3 linked regions of the Arabidopsis thaliana genome follow. The protein of the gene in region 2 interacts with the protein of the main gene of each other region in a pairwise test. Each region holds a gene or a part of one and is shown on either strand. Other genes may lie near its edges. The genes, in order: AT5G66940, NAC071 and AT5G15060.

Region 1 (3,400 bases), on a different chromosome or scaffold from region 2:
ATAAAATTCGTGAATGAGAAGAAGGATCATGTTCCTCCCATTAACGATGGTGTAATCTACTACCCTTTTGAGATCACTATCCCAAGGTACATCAGTCTTCATTTATTCACATATCAAACTGTGTTCTAGAGATCTTAGTCTTTAGGTGTAGCGATCCCCACAGACATAGATGAGTGAAGAATGTTCTTTATATCTTTGTTGTACAAGTGTTGAAATGAGTTAAGTTTTGTTTCAGCTCATCGGACTCTGCCTTTGGGATGGATATGTTCAAGAGGATACTACACAGTGGCCATCCATCAATGCTCGGCTAAATTCCATTTTCCACTTAACTTAGTACATATACACTTTGATGTTTCTTGGTGCAGCCTAACTCCAATCAACACTTTCCTAGTTACATTTTCTGTGTAAATATATTATATGTTACCCTCTCCTCGTCGATGGATAATGTTACCTTATCTATGCTTTGTTGTATATAAGTGATGTGTTGTATATAAATTTCAGACTTGCATTTCCTAAACAACGTGGACTGTTCTGTTTTCCAAGATTTCTAAAGTTGGAATTGACATTAAATAGAGCCAAAAAAACAAACAAACAAACAAACGTTTCTCTGATTTGAAGTTTCGTTCACAAGTAACCTAACTAAATAAGAACCAGATCAACTAAAACTGAAAGTTAGGGTAGAGAAGCTAAAAGAAGAAGAAGATAGATTGAAACCCTCCGATGAAGTAGAAGCTGATCCGATAGTCTCTATCACGCTACGTAGTCTCCAGACACGAACCCGACTTTGCTCTCTTGACCTTCAAACTGCCACGTGGCGGGTATTTGAGCAATGTGGCTTGTAGTAGTTGCAGCATCAGTAGCGCCACTTGAAAACGGCCAGACCGTTATTCCTTGCCCATATCTGACGTCCTCATAATACGACCCGTGACCAAGCCCAAGACCAAAAGCATCTGGCCCATTAAACCCGCCACCAGGCCCATTTCTGCTCACGGCGGCGTTGTAGTTGATCAAAGAGCTGAAACCGCCATAGAACGACGAAGCACTTCCCTTCGCCGTCGTGATACCGCCGTTGGAAGACGACTGAGGGAAAAGAACAGGCGTAGCTTGTAAGGGAAAGTTCCGGCTTCCGACAACGGAGGTGGTAGCGGCAGAGGAATAAGTCCGGGAACGTTTTGAGCTTTTACGGGAAACACCACCGACGGGAATGTCACGGAGAGTACCTCCATGAGTCCAGTAACGGCGACAAGACTTGCAGAAATGACGAGGTTGTGAGAAGTTGTAGTTGTTGTAGTAACAGAACTTGGTGTTGGTTGATTCACAGCGAGGACAAGAAAGCTGCTCTTGTTGATCCGTCGGAATCGCAACAGATCCTCCTTGGCCGTGGGGAATCTTAGGAACCCGACGAGATTCACTGAATTCAGAAGGCATGTTGTTGAGAAGAGAGGTTATCTGAAAGTTGAGAGTTTTTGAAGCTTTGGAGAGTTAAAGGTTGGAACTTTGTGATAGAGTAAGAGTTTCCTTTTATGGAGGAGAGGGAGAGAGAGAGAGATGGGGAAGGAGAAGAAAGTGAAGCTTTTTGACAGAGTATGTTGGGTTTATTGTGAACATAGAGAGAGAATAGATATGCTCTGTTTCTTTACTTCATTATACGTAGCTGGTGGCTCTTCTTTCAAGATTTTCTGTTTTGAAATAAAACCACGATTCTCTAATCTCTCCATCCATAATCTGTCACACGTTTTGATGGCATAGACATTAGTGAATGTTGGAAGAAACCAAAATTGAAAATAACTTATGATAAATAAGTGAAAGAAAAATCATATGATTACATTTGCTGACTAACAATGCTTTTGAAATTTTAATTTTAATTATGGTGTTATACACGTCGAATTTCTGAGTTAAAAGTTAAAAAAGGTTTCTACATGCAATATTTGTTTTAAGAAATACATTAAATTTTATGTCAAAAGTACGTGTCTACGGGAAGTGAAGACTGAACTGTGAAGAGAGTAGGCTACATGTAGTAGAGACTATTGAGCTTATCGATGTAAAGCAGTTCCCAATAATACAGCCATTATATTGTTAAGTGTTTAGGAGGGCTCATTAGCCTAATTTGTTGTGTGCATCTTTTCCAAAAAAAGAAGGATTAAATGGTATATGGACCTAAGAGATTGATGGTGTGTGTAGATGTGCTACCAATCACTACAGGTCCTTAATAGAATACCAGTATAAATGCAGAATCAATGCGTTCAGGTCCTCAAAAAAACTACATTTAAAACATCAAGTAAAAGTACTCAACAGTTTTACGTTAAACCAACTTGATTATCAATTTTAAGTTTTGTTATGGTCTTATCTTATCTCTCAGCATGCATCAAGATTAAGACAATGTTTTCAATTTGTTTTATCATTACGGTGTAATAATAGATTATAAATCTTATGTTGTTTAGGAGCTATAAAAAGTAAAAATCTAGACAATACCATGAAGACAGAATAACAATAGTCGGGTGAATTCTGACTTAACATGATCTTGAGGAACAAGACAAATGGATCTTTAAGGTAGAGAGAGAGAGTGTGACAAATGTGATTTGTTCCACAGGAAAGAAGAGAGGGTAGTAATTGTAAAATTGGGGAGGCTAAAAACAGTCAAAAGAGACAGAAGAGATTCGTTTTGTGAAGAGACAGAAGCGAAGGTTGTCGGGTAAAGAATGGATACGGAGAAGCTAGGAGTTAAGAAGCATGCAAATCTTCACTCCCTTTCACACCAAAAAGCATCCAACATTTTGGAGAGAGACATGTGAGAAGTATGTGCCAAGACGTGTCTACACTGGTTCAGAGCCGTCCTTACTCTGTGTACCGACCGGTCTAATCTGGTCAAATTCTGACACACCTTCTCTCTTTATCCCATTCTTTTTGTCCTTTTCCTCTCTGAGTCTCAGTCCTTCTCTGTTTCCTTTTGAAAGGGTGTTTTCGTCATTTACCTTCTGGTCCGTATTTCTAATGGGCCTAATATGTATACCCCTTGGACCATGGGCCTTAACATAAGAGATTTGTGACTGTTGTATTTTAGATGTGAATCTGACACCCTGCTAAACAAACCCCAAGCCGAGTCTATGAAACGAAACCATATATGGGCGGATTTTGTTATGACCCAAATGAAATCAACTACAAACTTACGTGGAAAAAACAACATTGTTGGGCTAAATTATCCTCTCTCTTTCTTGCTAACTAATCAAACGATAGTTGATAATTTGATATAGTTCTTCTAGATATATAGGTATTGATACTGTGATGTGATTTGATTAAAATGATATGCAATGTGACATGACAGTGTAAAGAAAACATGCAATAATCGTTCTTTATTATAAGTCCCTAATTATATGGCTTTTATGTTGTGTTTGTGCATGTT
Region 2 (4,139 bases):
AAAGAAAAAACAAAAAAAGGAAGGGCCCAACCGGGTTCGAACCGGTGACCTATTGATCTGCAGTCAATTGCTCTATCACTGAGCTATGGACCCAATTTGATATTGTTCACATTTTGTAAATCATATAGACTATATATCAAAAGTATTTCGTAGATCATTTTCAAGAGGAAGAAATATTCTTATAAATTTTAAAAGAATGAAATGTAGAAAGCTCATGGAAAAAAGAATTTTGTTTGAAAGGTCTCTAACAATTGAGAAATGCAAGCTTTTGGGATTTTCATACATCTGTAAACAAATTGCTGCGTCACATAGTTTTTGATTTTAATCTCTGCATATTTATGGAATTTTGTTTACATAAACTTTTGAAATGTCAAAATGGTCCCGAAACTATTGCTTTTATAGACAAAATATTGGATTTTTAATGCAAATGATTGTTATGACTTCTACATAAGTTGCTTTATATAATATAAGTTTGGTCCAATTAATGATTGAGAAGAACATGATTGATTCTCTTTGCATATATCATATCAAAGGTATCGGAACATTAAAATAAGACTCTATAATAACGTAAATCTTCATACGAAAAAACTTTAAATAAGGAATTTATTATACTCATTCCTTATATTAGCAAACAATATATATAAAACTAAAATAAAAACCAAGAGTAAGATAATTAAATTCTCAAAAGAAAATGATAGACGTTCACAACTAGTTCTTCTTCTTCTTCCAAGTTCCAAGACACCAACGTTAAAAGGCGTTTTTGTCCTAAGAACGAACCAACATTTCTTGTAGCTAAAAAAGGTTTGAGTAGTCAAATGAACCGGTTTGGTCATTTTCATAATTTGTCCAATAACCGGTTTGCATCGACTGATCAATGTCCTGGTCCACATTGAAATAACAAGAGCTCACCGGAAATTCCACGTGGTGGTTTGCCGTGGTGACCGGAAAATGGTAGTTGGGAAAGCACTCAGAAGCAACCTCCTTAATCTGAGGATAATCCTATATTTAAAATCACAAAACCAAAAACACATATCAGACCACTACTGTCTATACAAAAACTATTTTGGTTTAGATAATAGATGTAGGTACCTTTGACGAATCAAGGATGAAATCAGGAGAAATCCAAATGCTTGAAGAGTCGTTTGTAGTAGAAGAAGGCTTGAACGATTGAATCTGCGACGCTTCATCGCGACAAGGAGAGGTCGCGAGGCTAGAGTAACAAGAACCAATGTCTTGTTCGTTTTTATTTTTCAAACTTTTCGAATTTTTCTTCAGTTCATTCTTCTTAACTACGCGACATAACGCAAAAGCTCCCTAAAATTCAAACATATATATGGTTTTTAGGCTTCGTTCCATTAGTTCATAAAAATGAATATTATGAAGTTGGATCAAATGAAACGAACTCTAATTTTCTTACCTTGAAATTTGGTGATTTTTGTGAATGATCATCAATATCGCATAGACGATATTCATGCATAAACCAATTAGTTCTGTCGCCTAATGGGGCACGACCTTCATAGAAAACTAAGGTTTTTCGGTATCCAGCTATAACATGCGATGATTTACAAGTGATTTTCCGGTCTTTACCAGTTGCTTTCCAATAACCCGCTTTTGTAGCCCTATTGGTTCGAGAACCGTTTGCATATTTTTTGTCTCTTGGACAGAAAAAGAACCATTCCAAATCTCTATTTGGAAGGAAAGATTTACCTAAAATTCAAAGATAAAATCAAACAAATTTAGTTTTATTTAAATATAAATTTATGGATAAAAATCTAATTGTTTTCCTTTTCAAATTACCTGGCAACTCCCAAGGATCAAATTTGTATAAGTCGATAACAGGAATGACTTCAAGCTCAATCTCGAGACCTTCTATTTTTCTACTCAAGTAGTAGCCTATGAGCTCTTCATCAGTTGGATGAAATCTAAATCCTGGAGGCAAACATGAACTCCCCATTTGCAAAATTCACACTTGTAGCTTGCGACACAAGAGAGTTGTCGAAAGCTAATATTTAACTAAATATCTATTGACTATTTGGAAAATCTAAAAATATAAACTTTTTTCGACATTCAATTTGTTTTTGAAAATAAGTTGCAACTCACTTTGATTGCATCCTTTTTGTGACAATATCATTGTCTGAAAGAGATTGTATGTTTACAAAAAAAAAAACGAATTATCCAAAATTCTCTTTTTAAAAATATATCTAACACCTAAGAAAAAAAATAGAAACAAACTTAAGGTACAATTCAGAAATAACGAAGAGCAGTTGGTGGAAGAGCTAATTGCTGCGGGTCAAAGAGTCTGACTGAGGAAAAGGGTTCTCTGACTTATTAGCTATACAAGACCAAAAAAAAAAAAAAGTTATTAGTGAGTATTGATTAGGAGAGTGATTAAGATCGGAGAGAAGAAGAGAAGGTTGGTAGAGTGTTGAATGGTTGTGGGGTGAATGATATTTATAGCACAAAGGTTGCGAAACTTTGTGAGGCAAATTTAATCATAGCTTAAAATATGTTGATGAATTTTTCTGTAGAATAAACAAACAGTATTATAATAGTCAGTGCCGTTAATATTCAGAAGAAAAAATAACTCGACACACCGAAAGCGGATAAAGACATTGCTTGTCTTAAGAGTTCCCAAAATTCAAAAAGAAAGTGGACCTACCTGGTCTCTAAAGTTAGACTTGTTCACACTTCACACATCAATGATTCAATAATACTATCACCTATAATTAATCAAAACTTATTTTTCTATTTTTTAATTTCATAAGACGTCGTTTCGTTTTGTAAAACGATATGTTTATAGGTGTGTTGGCAAATTAGTCACTTTTGAAAACATAATTATGGAGTTGGGCAAGTTACTATTTACACTTGACAAAACATGTAACTCACTTTGGGCGTGTAATAGACGAGCGTGAAATAGAAGTTTGGGGTGGGGTAAGTGATGTGTTTTGAAATTACCGAACTATCCTTTTGACAGAGAAGAAAGATAAAAGTGAAATATTCTTTTTTTTTTTATTTCTTTTTAATAACCCCTCCAATTTAATAATTGAAATACTTATCAATATAAATTTATTTTCTAAACTAATTCATATACATAAAAATCTATGTATTTTTCTTTATAATTTGATATGCATTTTGTTAATATTTTTAATATATTACAGACATTTTATCAGTAGTCGGTACACTTAATTATGTGTACAGACTTTATTTTGTACGTTGCATTAGCTGTACAGAGTATATAATTGTATGGAGTATACAATTATCAGTAGTCACTTTTCACTGTTGATTCGTACACTTAGACCTGTACAATATTTTTAGTGTATATATATATATATAAATATACACAACGTACACTTACATCTGTACACTAAAAAATGTTGTACAGATCTAAGTGTACGAATCAAACAGTTAAAAGTGACTACTTTGCAAATTGTGAATAGTAAAATGACTATTTTTCCAATTATGGCTGGACGATTTCAATTTGTACTTATTAAATAAGTTGTATAAATAAAAATCTGTACACATAATTAACTGTACTGACTACTAATAAAAATGTTTATATAATATATTTAAAATTATTAACAAAATGCATATCAAATTATAGAGAAAAAATATAGATTTTTATGTATCTGAATTAATTTAGAAAATAAATTTACATTGATAAGCATTTCAATTATTAGATTGAAGAGGTTATTAAAAAATAAATAAATATATATATATATATATATATATATATATATATATATATATATATATATAAAGAAATACAAAGAATGTGAGTATGAGGAGAGAGAAATGTTGAATCTAAAAGCACAAATCCCAATTGCTTTCAACGACATTGGAGAAGAAGAAGATTAGTGGCATATTTGTAAATAATAGAGTTGGTATGGGGTATATTTGATTTTGTCTGTAATAGGGTCAAAGGTTAGTGACTAAAAATCCAATTATAAATAGTAATTTGCCCAATTCCATAATTAAGTTTAAATATCTGACTACTTTACAACTTAACCCTATGTTTATTTGCATGTCATTCTTGTATATCGGATTAGTAAACCTTGGTTAACCAAAAAGAGAGAGATATATTTTACATTTCTCTAATGTTTTTTCTAGCTCGTTTCTTTGATATAAGTATGTAACGGGAG
Region 3 (4,235 bases), on a different chromosome or scaffold from region 2:
ATCTGATAGTTTAAGTACATTTTATCCCAGTCAAAGTTTCTATTTCTGAAGAAAATATATTGTTTGAATAATAGTAAATGGTCATTTCAAATCTTCTAATTCTTTTTAGTAAGTATATAATGGTTGCTTAAGAAACGATACACTTTTTTAGGAGTAGTATGGAAAGGGTTTAAATTAATGAAGAGCATTTAACTGGTCTTCCAAGTTTATTCTTTCCCATTTTAAGTTATTGACTGTTGAATGACTTTTGTCAGACTATTAGGCTGACTAATCAGCACTGTAATGCTAATCCCTTAAACACGCAAGGATTAATGGGCTTTAAATCTATGAAAGCCCGAATTGAAACACTTTAAGCCCACATACAAAATATCAACTAAAGGGGATGGATGAGTCAAAATGTCGAACAAACCAAAGGCCTCTATCGGCCTTTACATGATTAATTCCCAAAGACCCAAACTAAGAGATTGATTTTCTTAATTTGTGCAAGTAATTAGCGTTACACACTGAACCGATTTTTTTTCTCTCGATAATAATGTACAGACCTATTTAAAGTCTATAATGTTAAAACGAATCCAGAAAGTCTAAACTGTATTTTACTTTTCGTATAGTAATTTTTTTTTTTGTTATCTACATATTGAAAATGGGAGAAAAGCCTACAAGAGAATGTAGAGTAGTAAAAGAATTTTTACGAGAGAGTAAGTACGACGAAAAAAAAAAGAGAGAGTAAGTACAAAAGATATTCTTCTCTATCGAGACTAGTTCATCCCCAAAGTGGAAAGATCTACGGAAATGGGAAGTCATCATCCTTGGTCATAGATTGATATGCACTGTTAATTAAAAACAAAAGAAACAGCATTAGTAGGATGGTATCGTGTAATTATAAATAATAATAAAATGCGTAAGCCATTTTAGGCCAAAAGCATAGCTTATTGGTCCCACGTATTCTTCCTTTAAATGTATACTATATAGTATACGGTCTATTAATCTTTAGACTAGTCACTAAAGTCATAACTAATCAAATAAATGTTAACTACTACATTAAAAAAACTTTGGCAAGCACTACCAACTGTGAAAAAAAAAAAGTTCTTTCAAGTTATAGAACGACATAAACACGGAATCAAGAATAAACAAGGAGATATTTTTGTTTATGCCATTGTATTAAATATTTAAAGTTATGCGTAGTTTTAATCATATAATGTAACAGTTTTTGATCCTAAAAAAAATCATAAAATTAAATAGTGCAAGTAATGAAATGAGGAAATCGGAAAACGTACCACTTGTGGCGGGAAACTTGAGCTTCCAAGAGAGACATAATTTCCTCATCAGTAAAGAATTCACGAAACACTCTCTCGATATCGTTGTTACGAGGAGCACCACCTAGTTGTTCTTGTTCCAACGCTTCAAGATTAACGTCATTTTCGTTGGCATTTGCATGGGAAAGATTCGAACCAACCTTTTACCAAAAAAAAAAAAAAAAAGATTCGAACCAAGATTAACGGCCTAGTCTCAGTCACACACTCCTCGTGTACGAAATTACCACAATACCCTCCGCCGCTCAAGAATTCGATCGTGCCATCGTCGTTGTTTGCGGTGAGGTTTCGAAAAGGATTTACGGCGGAGGAGGGATCTAAGAAGTTGTTAGCGGCGGAATTAAAGAAGCTGGCGGCGGTGGGATTGAAGAAAGCGGCGGTGATTTGATCACGGGTGCGACGTAGTTCAGCGGTGACGAGTGCGATTTGGGTTCGAAGATGGAAAATGTATTCGTGACAGCCACCGACGGGCCGGGGAATTGAGAGCGTATGTTGGATTCGTATATGATCGAGCTCATTGCTTCTCTTTGTTCCTCCGGAGACAATCCTAATTCTTTGAGCTTTTTTTGGAGACGGGTATTGGAATGTAGACGATGAAAGTTTTGGAACTCTTGATGTCGCTCCGCCGGAAAGTAAGGACGAAAGAAACAGTCCGGTGTGCAACGACGGCGTTGGTGCCTGCAAGCGGCGCATTGGTTGACATAACCGCCGTTATTTACGCCGGAAGAGCCTTGCAATGTCATCAAGATGATGACTGATCTGATGTGAGAATCAAGAAGAAAATGAGTTTGTTAGGCATCGTCGCCGATTTTGTTATAGTTTTTTTTTTCTGTAGAGTGGGAAAAAAGAAAGATTGAAACGAGTATTTATAGAGAACAGAGTGAAGCAAGAAGAATTATAAGAGATAGATTTGATAATTATAAAGAATTAAAAAGCTTCTCTAATAACAAATGTCGTTATAGCTCGGTTTAATTCTGTTTTTTTTTTCCAGATTATAAACCCCACTTCAAGTCGTTTTGTTTAACTAATTAGTGGACGAACCATGAGTCAACAATATTTTAGAATTTGGCTTTAACCAACAGACAATATTTCTTCAACATTTGCTCTTTCAGTCATTTGATTGGATAACAATATATTTGATAGGCTACACACATGGACCATTTCGATTACTTGAAAATTTAAAACGCGTTCTATTGACCTTCTCATTAGGCATTGTGAATTTACTAGTGTATAATTACATTGTGATATTTAATTGTGGATACACAAGAATAATCACAATTTTAGAACTTCCTAAAAAGAACACCGTAAATATTATCATGTATCCACTTATTTTTTAAAAATTCACTTGAGTTTTGTATAGTTGTCGGTCGGTGGTTAATTAAATTATTAATGACCATGATTTTAATAAACCAAGCAAAATCTATATATAATGGTAATCATTTTTTTTTTGTAATTCTGATTCAAAGCAACGCCTCTGACGCCTGAATCTTCTGGCTCTCTCTCTTTCCTCGTGCCATCAGCGCACTATCTCTAGCTATTGCTCTCTCTGCTTGTGATCATCATTTTCCCCAGTAACGTTTCTCCTCGACTTTTTCTCTGCGAGATCTCGCATTGCTCTCTCATGTTATGCACTACCTGTTTCTTCTATTTATGATCCTATCTTAGTTGCGGCCATGATTCCGAGATTGTTCCAAACCCAAGCGATTTAGTCTCTGTTCTCTCTGAACGAATTTTTCGTTGTGTTTTGTGAATCTCTGATTTCAGACGGAGAACGAGAGAACGTCGTTCGAGGAACGAAACGGAAAGAGGTTCGTATCGGGAGGAGAGAGCGAAAATGGGGGTGGAAGAAGGAGCTGGTGTTGATAAGAAGATAACGATTGGAGTCTGCGTCATGGAAAAGAAGGTGAAATGCGGCCCCGAGGTTTTGTTTCCTTTCGTGCTTTTATTATCGCGTTTTCTTGCTCTGACGAACAGATTGCGATAGTTTCGTTGAATCTGTTGTTACTCCGGTGAGGTTTTCAATTTCACTCTGATGTCTCGCTTATTGAGATTGTTCGTGTGTGTGGATTTTCTAGGTTTTTTCAGCTCCCATGGGACAAATTATGGACAGGATACATGCGTTTGGCGAATTTGAGGTAGTTTTTCACTTTCTCGATTTTTCTCATGATTGAGGATTTGATGTTTCTCAGGTTTTTCATTTGGTGATTTTTCACCTGGAGAATAAAAATGTCTCTTGAAAAGACTTAGTTCTAATTTGTGATTTCAATTTTATTGGAAGATGTTTTCCTGGGGTAATTTTTACAAGTTGTTTGTGTCTGTCTCTGTGGATTCTCTATAGTGTATTCTCTTCTTTTTTCCTTTTTATTTGTGATCTCATGGACCCATTGTTACCACTTTATTAGATTATACATTTTGGGGACAAGGTCATACTTGAAGACCCAGTAGAAAGGTACGTCTCTAAACAAATTTATGAATATCGTTTTTACTTTTGGTTTTATCCTATTTAATTCATGGATTTGTACCAATTCTCTCTATTAGATTATATGGAGAGAGTGTAGTTAATGATTATCAAGTACCATTATATTCTTGGACCACAAATTCACCAGGGACTTTACTCCCTTTACTGTTTCAGTTGGCCGATTTGTGATTGTTTGATTGCTTTCTATTCCTCTGGATATCCTCTTGAGAAAGTTCAAGCATATTCTTCTTTAAGAAAGTGAGTTCTACCTTTTTAACCTTTGTTGATTGTTCAGTAAATAAATTGAGTTTGGCTTTTGAGTTCAAACTTCTATATTCAGGCCCTTTTTAGTGAATGAACTCGATCCCCAATATCTTCTTCATGACCGCCGGAAAGTGTATGAGGTAACTATTTTACATTGCATGAAAGTTGGCCTGTGCATTTCTAATCACCATGTCATTTTCTTT

Evidence for each region.
Region 1: the proteins of NAC071 (region 2) and AT5G66940 interact in a two-hybrid assay, tested with the Arabidopsis thaliana proteins (one large-scale study listed by BioGRID).
Region 3: the proteins of NAC071 (region 2) and AT5G15060 interact in a two-hybrid assay, tested with the Arabidopsis thaliana proteins (one large-scale study listed by BioGRID).

The regions. Positions count from the first base shown.
Region 1 is NC_003076.8:26,727,239-26,730,638, forward strand, and holds AT5G66940 (Dof-type zinc finger DNA-binding family protein), read right to left. Parts: upstream 1,478-3,400; 5' UTR 1,429-1,477; coding exon 751-1,428; 3' UTR 581-750; downstream 1-580. Other genes in the region: AT5G66930 (meiotically up-regulated protein), read left to right, coding at 1-86, 236-311.
Region 2 is NC_003075.7:9,978,085-9,982,223, forward strand, and holds NAC071 (NAC domain containing protein 71), read right to left. Parts: upstream 2,472-4,139; 5' UTR 1,955-2,471; coding exon 1,798-1,954; intron 1,708-1,797; coding exon 1,418-1,707; intron 1,315-1,417; coding exon 1,090-1,314; intron 1,000-1,089; coding exon 793-999; coding exon of another isoform or gene 766-792; 3' UTR 619-765; downstream 1-618. UniProt on the Arabidopsis thaliana protein: Transcription factor involved in tissue reunion of wounded inflorescence stems. Required for the division of pith cells in the reunion process, which is dependent on polar-transported auxin and the wound-inducible hormones ethylene and jasmonate.
Region 3 is NC_003076.8:4,873,754-4,877,988, forward strand, and holds AT5G15060 (Lateral organ boundaries (LOB) domain family protein), read right to left. Parts: upstream 2,197-4,235; 5' UTR 2,054-2,196; coding exon 1,628-2,053; 3' UTR 1,275-1,627; intron 828-1,274; 3' UTR 579-827; downstream 1-578. Other genes in the region: AT5G15070 (Phosphoglycerate mutase-like family protein), read left to right, coding at 3,145-3,213, 3,386-3,445, 3,713-3,759, 3,943-4,026, 4,109-4,172.